Linked DNA regions of Arabidopsis thaliana. The protein of the gene in region 1 interacts with the protein of each later gene in a pairwise test. Each region holds a gene or a part of one and is shown on either strand. Other genes may lie near its edges.

The links.
Region 2: the proteins of VAMP714 (region 1) and AT1G16500 interact in a two-hybrid assay, tested with the Arabidopsis thaliana proteins (one large-scale study listed by BioGRID).
Region 3: the proteins of VAMP714 (region 1) and AT4G30780 interact in a two-hybrid assay, tested with the Arabidopsis thaliana proteins (one large-scale study listed by BioGRID).

Annotation. Positions count from the first base shown.
Region 1 is NC_003076.8:7,403,462-7,407,498, reverse strand, and holds VAMP714 (vesicle-associated membrane protein 714), read left to right. Parts: upstream 1-1,615; 5' UTR 1,616-1,844; coding exon 1,845-2,064; intron 2,065-2,171; coding exon 2,172-2,362; intron 2,363-2,530; coding exon 2,531-2,694; intron 2,695-3,029; coding exon 3,030-3,120; 3' UTR 3,121-3,495; downstream 3,496-4,037. Other genes in the region: QQT1 (P-loop containing nucleoside triphosphate hydrolases superfamily protein), read right to left, coding at 1-59, 149-223, 314-393, 469-513, 821-912; AT5G22355 (Cysteine/Histidine-rich C1 domain family protein), read right to left, coding at 3,743-4,037. UniProt on the Arabidopsis thaliana protein: Involved in the targeting and/or fusion of transport vesicles to their target membrane.
Region 2 is NC_003070.9:5,636,965-5,640,706, reverse strand, and holds AT1G16500 (filamentous hemagglutinin transporter), read right to left. Parts: upstream 1,929-3,742; 5' UTR 1,629-1,928; coding exon 1,401-1,628; intron 1,264-1,400; coding exon 712-1,263; 3' UTR 505-711; downstream 1-504.
Region 3 is NC_003075.7:14,988,709-14,993,620, forward strand, and holds AT4G30780 (ATP-dependent DNA helicase), read left to right. Parts: upstream 1-1,577; 5' UTR 1,578-1,814; coding exon 1,815-1,955; intron 1,956-2,128; coding exon 2,129-2,443; intron 2,444-2,527; coding exon 2,528-2,701; intron 2,702-2,784; coding exon 2,785-2,891; intron 2,892-2,977; coding exon 2,978-3,279; intron 3,280-3,416; coding exon 3,417-4,147; 3' UTR 4,148-4,377; downstream 4,378-4,912. Other genes in the region: AT4G30790 (autophagy-like protein), read right to left, coding at 4,675-4,912.

The DNA.
Region 1 (4,037 bases):
ACTGTCATGAATGAAGAACAATTCCACTTGGCCAGGAAAATCAAAGAGAATGTAATGATCTGCAAACAATTCAAAACGTTTTACTTTAAGAAAGAGATATTATGACCACGAAAAGAAGAAGAAGAAGAAGGGACATATCGTTGCTAACCCTTCAGAAGAGGCTTTAGTTTAGATTCCAGCCAGTCAATGTTTTTCTCCAAGTACTCCATACAATATACAAGACCTGTCACATTAGAAAGTTTCTTTGTTAATTTGACCAAAGATTAAAATCAAAAGTAAGAAGAAAAGGGAAAATCAAGATGGCAAAATTCACCTCCATTAGGACCAAGCGAGTGTTCCGACATAACATCTTCTAACTTGATCAATTCTTCTATATTCACACCACACTCATAACTAAAATCAATGTCAAGAAACAACATACACCTGCAATTTTTAACAATTTTGTTGTATTTGGCTTGAAAAGGATACGGTAATGCATCATTTGCAGGATCCAGATTAACAATAGCAACCTTCCTGCAACAACAACAAAATAGTAACTCAACGTTAAGAGAATTTACTTACAGAGAAGTTCTCACGAATCTGCAAATCTCTCTACCAAAAACAAAGACAAGGCAACAACATTTCACAATGACTCTGCTCAAAAGTCAGACAATTCAAATTTCTGGAATTCAACACTATTATTTACTAAAGTTTGCAACTTGTAAACTTTACAATGCGAGGGACAGCGAAACAATCAATACAAACAGAATTACAGATACAAAAGCCAAGTAAGCTTCATTCTTTGATCCAAAAAGAGAAGAGAAGAGAAAGAACATGAAACCTGCCCATTAGAGAGAGGAACTGAGACATTCCATTGCAATAAGTGGTCTTTCCCGATCCTGGAGGACCTATTACTACTTGTCCAAACACCATGCTTCTGAAGACGAAGAAGAAGATTGATACCAATCGGAGTCAAACACGTTGTATAATATCAGAGCCAGTCAGACAAAAAAACACAGTAATTGCAAAGCAAAATCATCTAATCATCAAACTAACATAACATGAATATTCAATAGAGAACATCAAAACCCTTCTAAACACTGAGCTCGTAGCACAATAGAAATCGGAAATGTCATTTGTTCGTCGGACACAGAATACAAACACAATCCTCCAATATTATTAACCCAATTCCTAAACCTCGTTTATAATACAACAAACAATTCACTGGAGAAAGAGAAGCAGAGAAACAATTTGCTTCAAGAGCATATTCATTATATCAGAAGCAACTGGAGACACAGAAGAAAATAAATAGAGAAGCTCGCCTGTGTAGTTAGCCGGAGAGAGAAGCAATGACAGGTCTGTTTGCCGGAGCAAGAGAAACTCGCAGCCGGAGACTCGTCGAAGACTCGATTCAAGGCGAAGTAAGCTCGCCGAAGACTCGATCGGTATATTTAAATTAGGGCTTTAATTTTAATTCGGTTTATTCGTGCTATACTCGAACCGAACCGGATAATCGAAATTAAAAAGAAGGAAACGATCAAGTTATTATTGGAGTATCCGAACCCAAACCGAAAAGTGAATTTCGGGTCGGTTTGTTTTCGGATAAGTTACCAAGGCCTAATAAATTGGTAAACCGTAAACCGATGCATCAGGGTTTAAAATGTAACAAAATAATATTTTAGGTGACAATTAAAAACGTAACAATAAAACAAGGGGTTATATTCGAAACGTTTGCACCTAACCTTATAACTTCGCATTTTTATACTCTGTTCTGATCGCAGCAAAGCCGACGTTGAACTTTCTCGCCGCCGGAGCGCGTGATCTCCACTCTCTGTCATCGAATCACTCTAATTGAAGATTCTCCGATGGCGATTGTCTATGCTGTTGTAGCGAGAGGTACCGTGGTATTAGCTGAATTCAGCGCCGTTACGGGAAACACAGGCGCCGTGGTGCGACGGATCCTCGAGAAGCTTTCACCGGAAATCTCCGATGAAAGACTTTGTTTCTCTCAAGATCGTTATATCTTCCATATTCTTAGATCTGATGGTCTTACCTTTCTCTGTATGGCCAATGATACCTTTGGAAGTAAGTATTTTTCACTTTCTCCGAATCGTAATCTCTCTTAAGAAGATTTAGTCTTTGTAATTGATTCTGAGTTTTATGTTTTGATGTGTTGGTGATTGGATTTTCAGGGAGGGTTCCATTTTCGTATTTGGAAGAGATTCATATGAGATTCATGAAAAACTATGGCAAAGTGGCTCATAATGCTCCAGCTTATGCAATGAATGATGAATTCTCAAGGGTTTTGCATCAGCAGATGGAGTTCTTCTCTAGTAATCCTAGTGTTGATACTCTCAATCGTGTTAGAGGAGAAGTCAGTGAGGTATAATTGTTTCTTCGTATGATCTCTAGATATTACTCAGCTATATCCATTGAAAAGGTTGAATTTTTATGAGTTATTACGCCTTCTTGGCTCACACAGGCTTCTTTAAATCTGTCTTGGGTGAAAGATGAAGTTTGTTATCTCATTGTTGTGTTATCGTGTTTACAGATTCGATCGGTCATGGTAGAGAACATTGAGAAGATAATGGAAAGAGGTGATAGGATTGAGCTTCTTGTTGATAAAACAGCAACAATGCAAGATAGCTCGTTTCACTTCAGGAAGCAATCTAAGCGCCTTCGCCGAGCTCTTTGGATGAAAAATGCTAAGCTCCTGTAAGGATCTCTCTCACTTCTAGATTCTCTTCATTCCTTTTCTTTGCTAACTAAGAGATACGCTCTTCTACATTCTAGGTGTTTCAACTCGCCTTTGCAGCATAGTTTATTGATATGTTTCTTAAACTAGAGATACAGTAGTTCTAAGATTCAACATTATTTTCGATTTTGGGAAATTCTCCTCGACAAAATATCTAATTTTTGGCTGATAGGAACTACACTGCCTTGATTCCACCTCTGCTTAAAGAAATTTCATTATTGTTTTGTTTTGATGCTTGAGTTCCAGATCACTTTTATTAATCAACAAAACTGCTTTTCTTGTTTGTGTTCGGCAGGGTCTTGTTGACATGCTTGATAGTTTTCTTGCTGTACATAATAATCGCATCTTTCTGCGGAGGAATCACTTTACCATCATGCAGATCTTAAAATCTGGCGGCCTTATCTAAGGTATACTGAAACGGACCACTGTTTTTGTAAATCAACTCAGTCGCATCATTTCGATTTGAAGCCTTGGTTTTGTCATGAAAATGACTGTGAGTTTGAAGTTACATGTCATGGTCCTCCTTGCTTATGTAACTCTTGTAAATGTCAAAATCAAAATGATACAGAGGTTCATTGAACTCTTGCCTTGTCTTTTAGATTTAGTCACGTGAGTGAGTTTGTTCTCTGTATTTCCAAAACTTTATCCGCTGTGTCTTTATAATTTTTGCATTTGCAATGTACATCACATATTCGTTATTTTTGTTGTTAAAATTACTTCAGTTTTCATCTTTGTTTAATAACATTTCTGATTCACAAATATCTGTTTCCATCATTTCTGTCTATGTTTTCATTAACTAAATCATATTAGTTGCTACTACCTTTTTAGCAAGTTTGTCATAACTTGTTACGACTTTATATATGTCATCGATACAGTTTAATCCTGCCTGTACTGATGAACACAGTATGAATATAACCAGAATGCTTAGCACTTGTAGTTGGAAATAAACTCTTACATCCAAAAAATTACGAGAAACAATAGAGTGAAATAAACAGCTACATAGTTGTCTTAGCTGTATTGATAGTCGGGCACTACACATGCATCGGAACAAATGTATCCAGTATATGGATCACAAAGCTTTAGAATGATAGGAGCTCTGCATCTGGAGTGACATTTTGCACAGAAGGGGCGAGAACTATAGCTGTTAAGAACCACTTCAACTCTAACATTATTGTAGTTGATGATGCGTCCTGGCATGAGACGTGAAAAGTCTCCAAGCACACATTCAATATGTGCAGTAACCACACATTTAGAGCAAGTGTAGAACCACTTACTTGGATCTGTTTCCGCCTCGCAAATATCA
Region 2 (3,742 bases), on another chromosome or scaffold:
TTTAAGGCTGCAAGCGTGTGCATTTTGTATAAGAATATGATTTTCAAAATACTCCATCCGTTTCAAATACTAGATGTTGTGGAATATTTCTTCTCGTTTCAGAAATTAGATTTTTTTTTTCATTGAATGTTTTTTATTTTACCTTTTAGTTTACACCTAATTTAATACTAAAGAAATTTTCTAAATAATATGAATATACAAACAATGGTATACACTTTGTAATTGCAAATAAGTTTTTATACAGTATACATCATGTATAAAAACTAAACATATACTAAAATATATCTCGAAACAGAGAGAATAATAAAGTAACTTATATAAATTTCTCCAACTAACTTTGAACTAACCCGTGACTTAAGTTGCTTCCTTAATATGACAAATAAAAACATTGGGTTCTTTAAGATGCGGAATAAATACCAGTACAGTTGAAGTAAATATAATGAAATATGTTGACCAAATAATATAAGAGTATAATTTGGTTACCTCTTACTCTCTAGTAGTATCTAATTAATTAGAGCGTTTTTCAAATAATTAAAGATCAACTATTCATTCATCAGAGAAAATCCATTACATAACAATTTACAAAATAACATCCATCTCTTCCTTTCTGCATTTAATTTCTTTTCAATGAAACCCCCTGATTTTATCTATCATTTACAGAAATCGAACCTACAAAATAAAACCATTCAATTCTATCCCCCAAAGTTTTTTTCACATCGAAATGTTAAGATCAATCTTAGGCTTCTTCATGGCAGGCAAAGGAACAAACGAATGACACCTCGGGCATTTCGGATTGTTCTTTGCCACAAACACGTACGATAAGCACCCTGGACATCCAGCCGCCACCTGAGACGCCGCGACGGTGGCAGAAGCGGTTCCATCGTAAACGCCGTCATCTTCAGGAGATTGGCGTTTCTTTGTATCTTTCTCCGCCCTTTCCAAAGCCAATTTCACCTTATCTAGTGTGCAAACACTCGATAGATACGAGAGAGACTGATTTGGAGAAAAAGAAGACAGAGGAGGAGGAAGAGGACGAGAGATAGAAGACGGAACTAGCTTCAGTTCAAGGCTTGTGTCGTCGTCATCGTCGAAGAGGCTTAACAATGGTTTCGCCGGAAACTTATCGGAAATCGGTGGCACATTCAAATCTTGAAATCTTGGAACTGTTTGGTTGGTTTGGTCTTCGTGATGATGATGATGATGATGAGACGATGATGACGAGCTCGTTGAATTGCATTGTTGTTGCAGATACACTTTCCCTGACTGTTCAAAAAAATCACAACGAATCTATAAATCATTCAAATCTTTGGAAACCTCTCTGTTTTGTTAGTTTCTTATCTCCAAATTCTCTCGAGAACACGAAACTACAAAAATCAAGAAGAAAGAAAATAGCGACGAACCTTTAAGTCGAGACGTTTTTCCCATCCGTTAGGGACTTGGACGTCAAGGTCAAGCTCCAGCGACTGTTCGTCTCCTCCTCCTCCTCCACCCACACAACCGCCGATTCCGAGGAGATCGCGTGTCATGAGCGCCACCGTGGATCTTGGTCCGGTGGAATCTTTTACAACCGTCCGATCATCCTTGAACCTACTCAGTATCCGTACGAGAGAGCTGACGTCAGCAGCCATACCAAGAAAGCAGAGAGAAAGAGAGAGAGAGAGGGGAGGTCAGTTATGGGGTCTGTTAGGCAGAGAGAGAGTTATATAGATGGGGCCATTGTAAGAAAAACAGAGCCTTCTACTCTCAAAGTTAATTACGAGGACGGTTATAAGTAGTAAATTTATAGCCAATTAATTTCTTTCATTTATTGTGAATATACTAGGATACTTTTGTTTGCATGGAAATTCTTTATTGTTGTACCATCTTTTGTCTACCGTGAAAGATTTAATTTCATGTGTAATTTTGTATTCTACACCTTACAATCTGTGAAAGATAGTATATGAATCATTTCATATTTCATATTTTTGTCATACGTTTATAAACTGGAGATTGTACCCATTCCATTCATGCCTAAGTGGAAAAAGGCTAAGGTAAATATCATCAAACCCATAATTCAGAACTTTATGAATCATCTTTTTCATCGACGAACTAAACTTTCAAACTCTTTTTTTTGTTGTTGCCAACATAAGTATTAAATGAATAAATAAATAAGAGTAACAAATTAACAGCAAAAAGGCCAAAGAAAAGGTGTGGAGGGAGGAATTCAAGGAGGAAGCAGACACAAAGTGTAATAAATGCTAAGAAAATAAAACGCATTAAATGCATGGAAACTACAAGTAGATTCAAGCTTCTATCCATTAAATTACATATTTTACCCCTTGTCATACTCCTCTCTCTCTACTTGTTGTAATCATAATTTTCAAATTTTTCTTAGTCTTACGTTCAAATTCAATTAATTACTCAATTAACTACACGCATTGATGAACCATGTATTTAATGCACTTCGTCTTCTCTTTTTTATTGGGCACGTCAAAGATATTTAATGAAGTAGGTATTGGTACGAATGTGGTATTTAGAGTAAACCACCATTAGTATTATGTGTTTAACACCAATCTATATCCCTTTAGCAAAAAAGATAAAACAAGAACATATCCTTCATATATTTCTTGACTTTTCGAAATCTTATTAGAACCAAACTCTTACACATATTAAGGCCATAGGTTGGATATGTTTTTTATGTCCCCAATAATTTCAGCCACTATTCAGTCTGTCTATACCTATATTCTTTCTGTTGTTGCATACCTATATTCGACTATGGTGAATTAGTTTATATTTTAGAGTAAAATATATTTTTGTTGTGAGTTAAATTTTATGATTTATGAGTTTAGAATTTCAACTTTTATATTCATGGTATATTTTCTAAGAATTTAACGTTTGAAATTTAGAGTTAAGGATTTCAAGTTAACTGAAACAAAAAAAATTATACTACTATTGTTATAATTTGATATAAATTTAAATTATTTGATAATATTCATTTAATATAAAATTATAGAGAACTAAATTAAATAAAGTAACCGTTATAAGGCGTTAGAAAAAAACTTTTCAAGATTGTATTGTCTTTTTTAGAACCTTTGTCGATAATATATAATATGGACAACGATATTACCATTAAAATTTATAATGTTCTATTATCTTTTTAAAAATCCAAAATGTCATATACGTTTTTTGTCAATAATATATAATCTATACAATGATATTAACACAAACTGCTAATTTATCAGTCAAATTTATTATTTAAACTTACAACGTTCTATTACCTTTTGAAAAATTAAAATATCGTTTATTTTTTTGTCGATTTTATATAATACAAACGATATTAACACAAACAACCAACTTACTAGTTAAAATTTATAACGTTCTATTTTCAAATTTTAAAATCTAAAAATATCAGTATTTATGTTTTTTGTCAATAATATATAATACGTAATGATATCAACACAAACCATCAATTTACCGGTCAAAATTTATTATTCAAACTTGTAACGTTCTATTGTCTTTTTAAAATATAAGAATATCATTTATATTTATAATCTACAATATATATAAATAATATCAACATAAATCAGCAATTTACCAATTAATTTTTATTAATTAAATTTATAAGGAAAAGGTTTGATTATTATTATTATTATTATTTTAAAATATTTTTTAGGCTAGATTGTTGCATGGGCTCTTGACCACGTTTGACGTATCTTTCCGTCGGAGGTGGCAACGAACTTTTCCGTTCATCCAACTAATCCAA
Region 3 (4,912 bases), on another chromosome or scaffold:
CTTGAGAACGAGCTAAGGAGATTGAGGACGAGCTGAGGAGCTTGATGGCGATCTGAGTACCTTGAGGACGAGCTGAGGAGCTAGAGAACGAGCTGAGGAGCTTGAAGACGTTTTAATATGGATTTCTTCCTCCTTTTTTCCATGCCTCTCTATTTATAGAAAAACTAAGCTCACTACATAAAAGGTATAATATGGTACTTTAACCTTGATCATTGTGACGTTGGTCTCCACCATATTGGCATAGCAGCTAACGGAGGCCAGCAATCTACATGTATGTCATGCTATTATTATGTAGAGGAAGGACTGAAGAGGGAAAAACCTATATGAGCCAACTTGAATGGGCTAAAGACACCACCATGGCTGAAACGTGTTGGAAACAAATCAAAACTTCACTAAATGGGATTAGAGTGGCGAGAAAAAGATTGTACATGATATCACTTCGCAACATGAAACCCCCCGACGTGTGCCATCCAAGAGATTTGGACAACACATGTGAGAAATGTTTTTTCTACAAACAAATGTTTAAGTTTATTTTTATGGTATAACTTAAACAAAACATTTAGAGAGTTGGAAACTGTTTTTAAAAAATTCCCTATAATGTTTGAGCAGTGAACTATCACAAAGACTCAAAACAAAGTTATTACTCTTATTTCTTTTGCTTTAATGTGTGTCTTTCCTTGCTGTTGTAAGGAAATTTATATTTACAATAAAATCAAACTTTTAATTAATTATCTAAGCATATCGTACTTTCAATGTTAATATTGTTATAATCCAACTCTTTTTGGCTAATTCGCGAAGAGACGTTGAAAAGTGAAATCTTCCCAAAACCAAAGAGTAGTTTCTAAGATTTTAACAGAGACACAAAGAGAAAAAACAAATGGGCGGGTTCATATTGGGCCAAAATTAACAATGGCAACGATGTGTAAAATAACTTCGTCGTTAGTCTCTGTTCTTCGCTATCCTCTGCAGCAACCGCTTAATACGAGAGAGAGAGAGAGATTTCCATTGTATTTTTAATTTAAAATAAAATATATAAAAACAAGACCAATGTAACAAATGCATTGCTTAGATATATATAACTCTAAAAAATATTCTTACAAGATAGTAAGTTTGGTCTATTGTCCTATAAATTCTAGCATATAACTGGTAACAATATGAAAAAAAAATGTAAAACTATACATAGATTACAAAAATGTAGAAATCAAAAAATAAGATTAGCAAATAACAAAGATATTCACCTTTTAATCAAAGATCAGTAAAAAAAATCGAAGTTATAATTACATACTAACAAAACCAAAAACAAACCACCAACGCGCGTGTCTCCTCCCTAGTTAATTAAAGGCAAAAGGAAGACGAGTAACACGTGGCAAATACTCTATCTGTAGCCGTCATAAAAAAAATTGTGGGACCCTACACCCTATAAATCAAGAACTACTGGTTGTTCGCCAGCGAATTAACTAAAATATTTAATAAACATAAGAAATGACAAGTTTAGCCCTCTTTCCATAGGCATAACATGGTGGCTAATTTGGGAATTTCAGCAGCATTCGGAGTCAAAATAACGATAGCGCGTGTCGGTGAAATCGCGGTATACGCGCGTCGATAGCCGCCAGGAGAATCCTTTTTTTACACAATCAAAGAGAGAGATCCCGTAAATGTTTTATACTCTGATTTCTAGGGTTTGCTTTTGATTCTCTTTCGCGTTCCAGATAAATAAATCCTTTTGTGGAATAATTTCGTGATTTCGTTTGTGGGTTATCCGAATTTTGTCTGAATTTGAGTTTTTGAGAAGGAAAGGTTTGTTTTTTCGGGGGATGGTGGAAATGAGGAAATCTGGAGGTTTAAGACCGGAGTCTGAATCGGCGGCCAGGTGCCGAGATGAGCTACCGGTGAAATTGGAGATTGCTGAAGATGATTTAGAAGAAGAGCATGGTCCTCTCAACAAACGATCTAGGGTTTGTTTATTTCTCTCCTTTTGTTTTTTTCTTCTCAGATGAGCTGATCTAATTCAGTTTCTGCGATAATTCAATAGCAATTCTTAGCATGCAGTGATGGTTTTATATTTAGCTGGTTGTGAATTGTTTGGTGATGTATTTTTTTTAATTATTGATTGTTGCATTGAATTTAGTTATGGAGTCCTGGGACAAGCTCATCGACAATGGCACCAGCTAAGTATAACCCGCTTGATGAGCCGAGTCCTCTTGGATTGAGTCTTAAGAAGAGTCCATCTTTGTTGGAGTTGATTCAGATGAAGATAACGCATTGTGGTGATCCTAAAGCAGCTGAAACGTTGAAAGCTGGTGCACTTGGCTCTGGTCTTAAGAGAGAAAGTAAAACTATTGCTGCTGCTGCATCAGTTGGACCGACTTTGGCGCCAGGAAGTATTGAGAAGCTGAAAGCTTCTAACTTTCCTGCTTCGCTTTTGAAGATCGGGCAGTGGGAGGTGAGTCCTGCGAAATGTTTCGTTTTGATATGTTTTCATGGTGGTTTCAAAATCTGACTTGACTTGGTTTCTTTTTTTGTGCAGTATAAATCGAGGTATGAAGGTGATTTGGTGGCAAAGTGTTACTTTGCTAAACACAAACTTGTTTGGGAAGTGTTGGAACAAGGTCTTAAGAGTAAAATCGAGATCCAGTGGTCAGATATTATGGCTTTGAAGGCAAACTGTCCTGAAGACGGACCTGGAACTTTGACTCTCGTGGTATAACATTCACTCATGTTCTTTTCTTTTGCTCAACATATCACTCTTGTTCAACTTTAATGATTTGACTCTTTATGTTTCAGCTTGCTAGACAGCCCTTATTTTTCCGGGAAACAAACCCACAGCCTAGAAAGCATACCTTGTGGCAGGCGACATCAGATTTCACTGATGGCCAAGCCAGCATGAACAGGTACAGGCATTTCATGTAAATTTTTTCTGAATAAATTTGGTGATGTCCTAGCTTCAGCTAACGATAGTCTCCCTGTGATCTGTTAGGCAGCATTTTCTGCAATGTGCTCAAGGGATAATGAACAAACATTTTGAAAAGCTCGTTCAATGTGATCATCGTCTGTTCCATCTAAGCCGACAGCCGGAGATAGCTATTGACTCTCCCTACTTTGATGCACGGCAATCTATTTTTGAGGATCCAAGTGAATCAAAAGGCCATCCTTTTGGGAATTTGAATCTTAGTACAGGTCCTTCGATCTCTGGGACTCAGAATTTAGCATCTCCTGTTGGGGCTCAGTCATCATCTGAGCATATGTATCTGTCTCATGAAGCACCATCACCCAGCTCAGGTATTATGATGACTGCTCGCTCATTCTAGTTGCTTTCATAACTCGTTATTAGAATATAATTTTTCATTTTCACTTTTGTTGAACCTGATTAGGATTGTGGATTTATATTTCTGTTTGTTTGCTTCGTTCATCTCTAGTGATAGATGCTCGTGCAAATGAAGGAATTGGGGGTTCTGAAGCAGTCAATTCAAGAAACAGAACAGATTGTGGTCAGATCGAAGCACCTGGAATACACCAATCTATGTCACTGAGTGATTTCCTTGCGGTTCTCTGTGATACAAAAAACACAACGGATTTGAATCTGGCTGACGACGTAGATGGACTACACCAATCTATGTCAGTTAGTGATTTCGTTGCATATTTATCTGATTCAAGAAACATAACTGATTCAGATCAGATAAAAGTACCTGGACTACACCAATCTATGTCAGTGAGCGATTTCGTTGGACTTCTCTCTGATTCTGCTGGTGGAAGTCATCCGGAACATATGGAGAAATTTGAGATCATGAAACAGCAGTTGCTAAGTGATAATATCCAGTTCGAGGCACCAGATGAGAAGTCTCTCATGCCAAGGGTTAACTCTTTATTCAACCTCTTGTACAAGGATCCCAACGTCGCTGCAAACTCACAGCTCAATACCGAAATGTCGGTTGGATTGAAGTCTGAACCCAAGGGAATTGTTTCTGACAACAACAACAACAACAACAACAACAACAGAGTTCTTGATACAGCTTCTAGCAGCAAACCACAGGGTATGTTAAGGAAAGACTCATTCAGCGATTTGCTATTACACCTCCCCCGGATCACATCCTTGCCAAAGTTCTTGTCCAACATTTCAGAAGAAGATGGTGATGCATATAATAGATAATTTATAGATACCGCCTTTCTTTTCTGGATTTGGCAAGTATAGGAACCTGGACTAGTAGCTTTTCTGTTTTTTTTTTCTTGTAAATCAAAATTATCACTTGGTAACTACAACCCCCACAGGGATTTGAAGAAACATGTTTTGATGATTAATTTCTGTATATTATTCCCAATATAAACCAAAGTTGGCAGAGGCAAAAGATTCCATTATTTATCCTAAAACTTTTTTATTTTCTCGTAATATTTAGTAATCTTTTTATTACAGCATTCAAATTATAGCAGAGTATGTACAATACAAGGAGAAAAGATTAAACTAAGATCAGTGATCATCAGCTGTACATAAAGAAGAAAGATATGAAAATAAAAGAAAGTTAAAGAAGAGACAAATGAAACCCACAAATCATATAAAGGGGCTGTCTGGTTTTAGATTGTGTTATTTGAATTCAAAGTATTTACATTTTTTGTTCTTTTTTGGGGGGAGGGGGTTTCTTCCATCACGTCTATCTGCTGCCTTAGGAACAAGCAAAAGGATCAGGAAGCTTGTTGATGAATAGCAGTGTCAGGAAGCATTGCTATTGTCACTATGAAGTATTCACATCCTGAAGAGAGACCATAAGGGTTTGATGTTGTTGTTGCTGAAGTTGATGTTGAGATTGAACTTGATGCCAGAGTTCTCGAGCCCTGGTCTGAGCAGAGATGATGTGTCTTACCCGCCTCAGGAGAAGCAGAAGCTGAAAGTTGTGATGGCAGTTTCACTATTTGGCGCTCT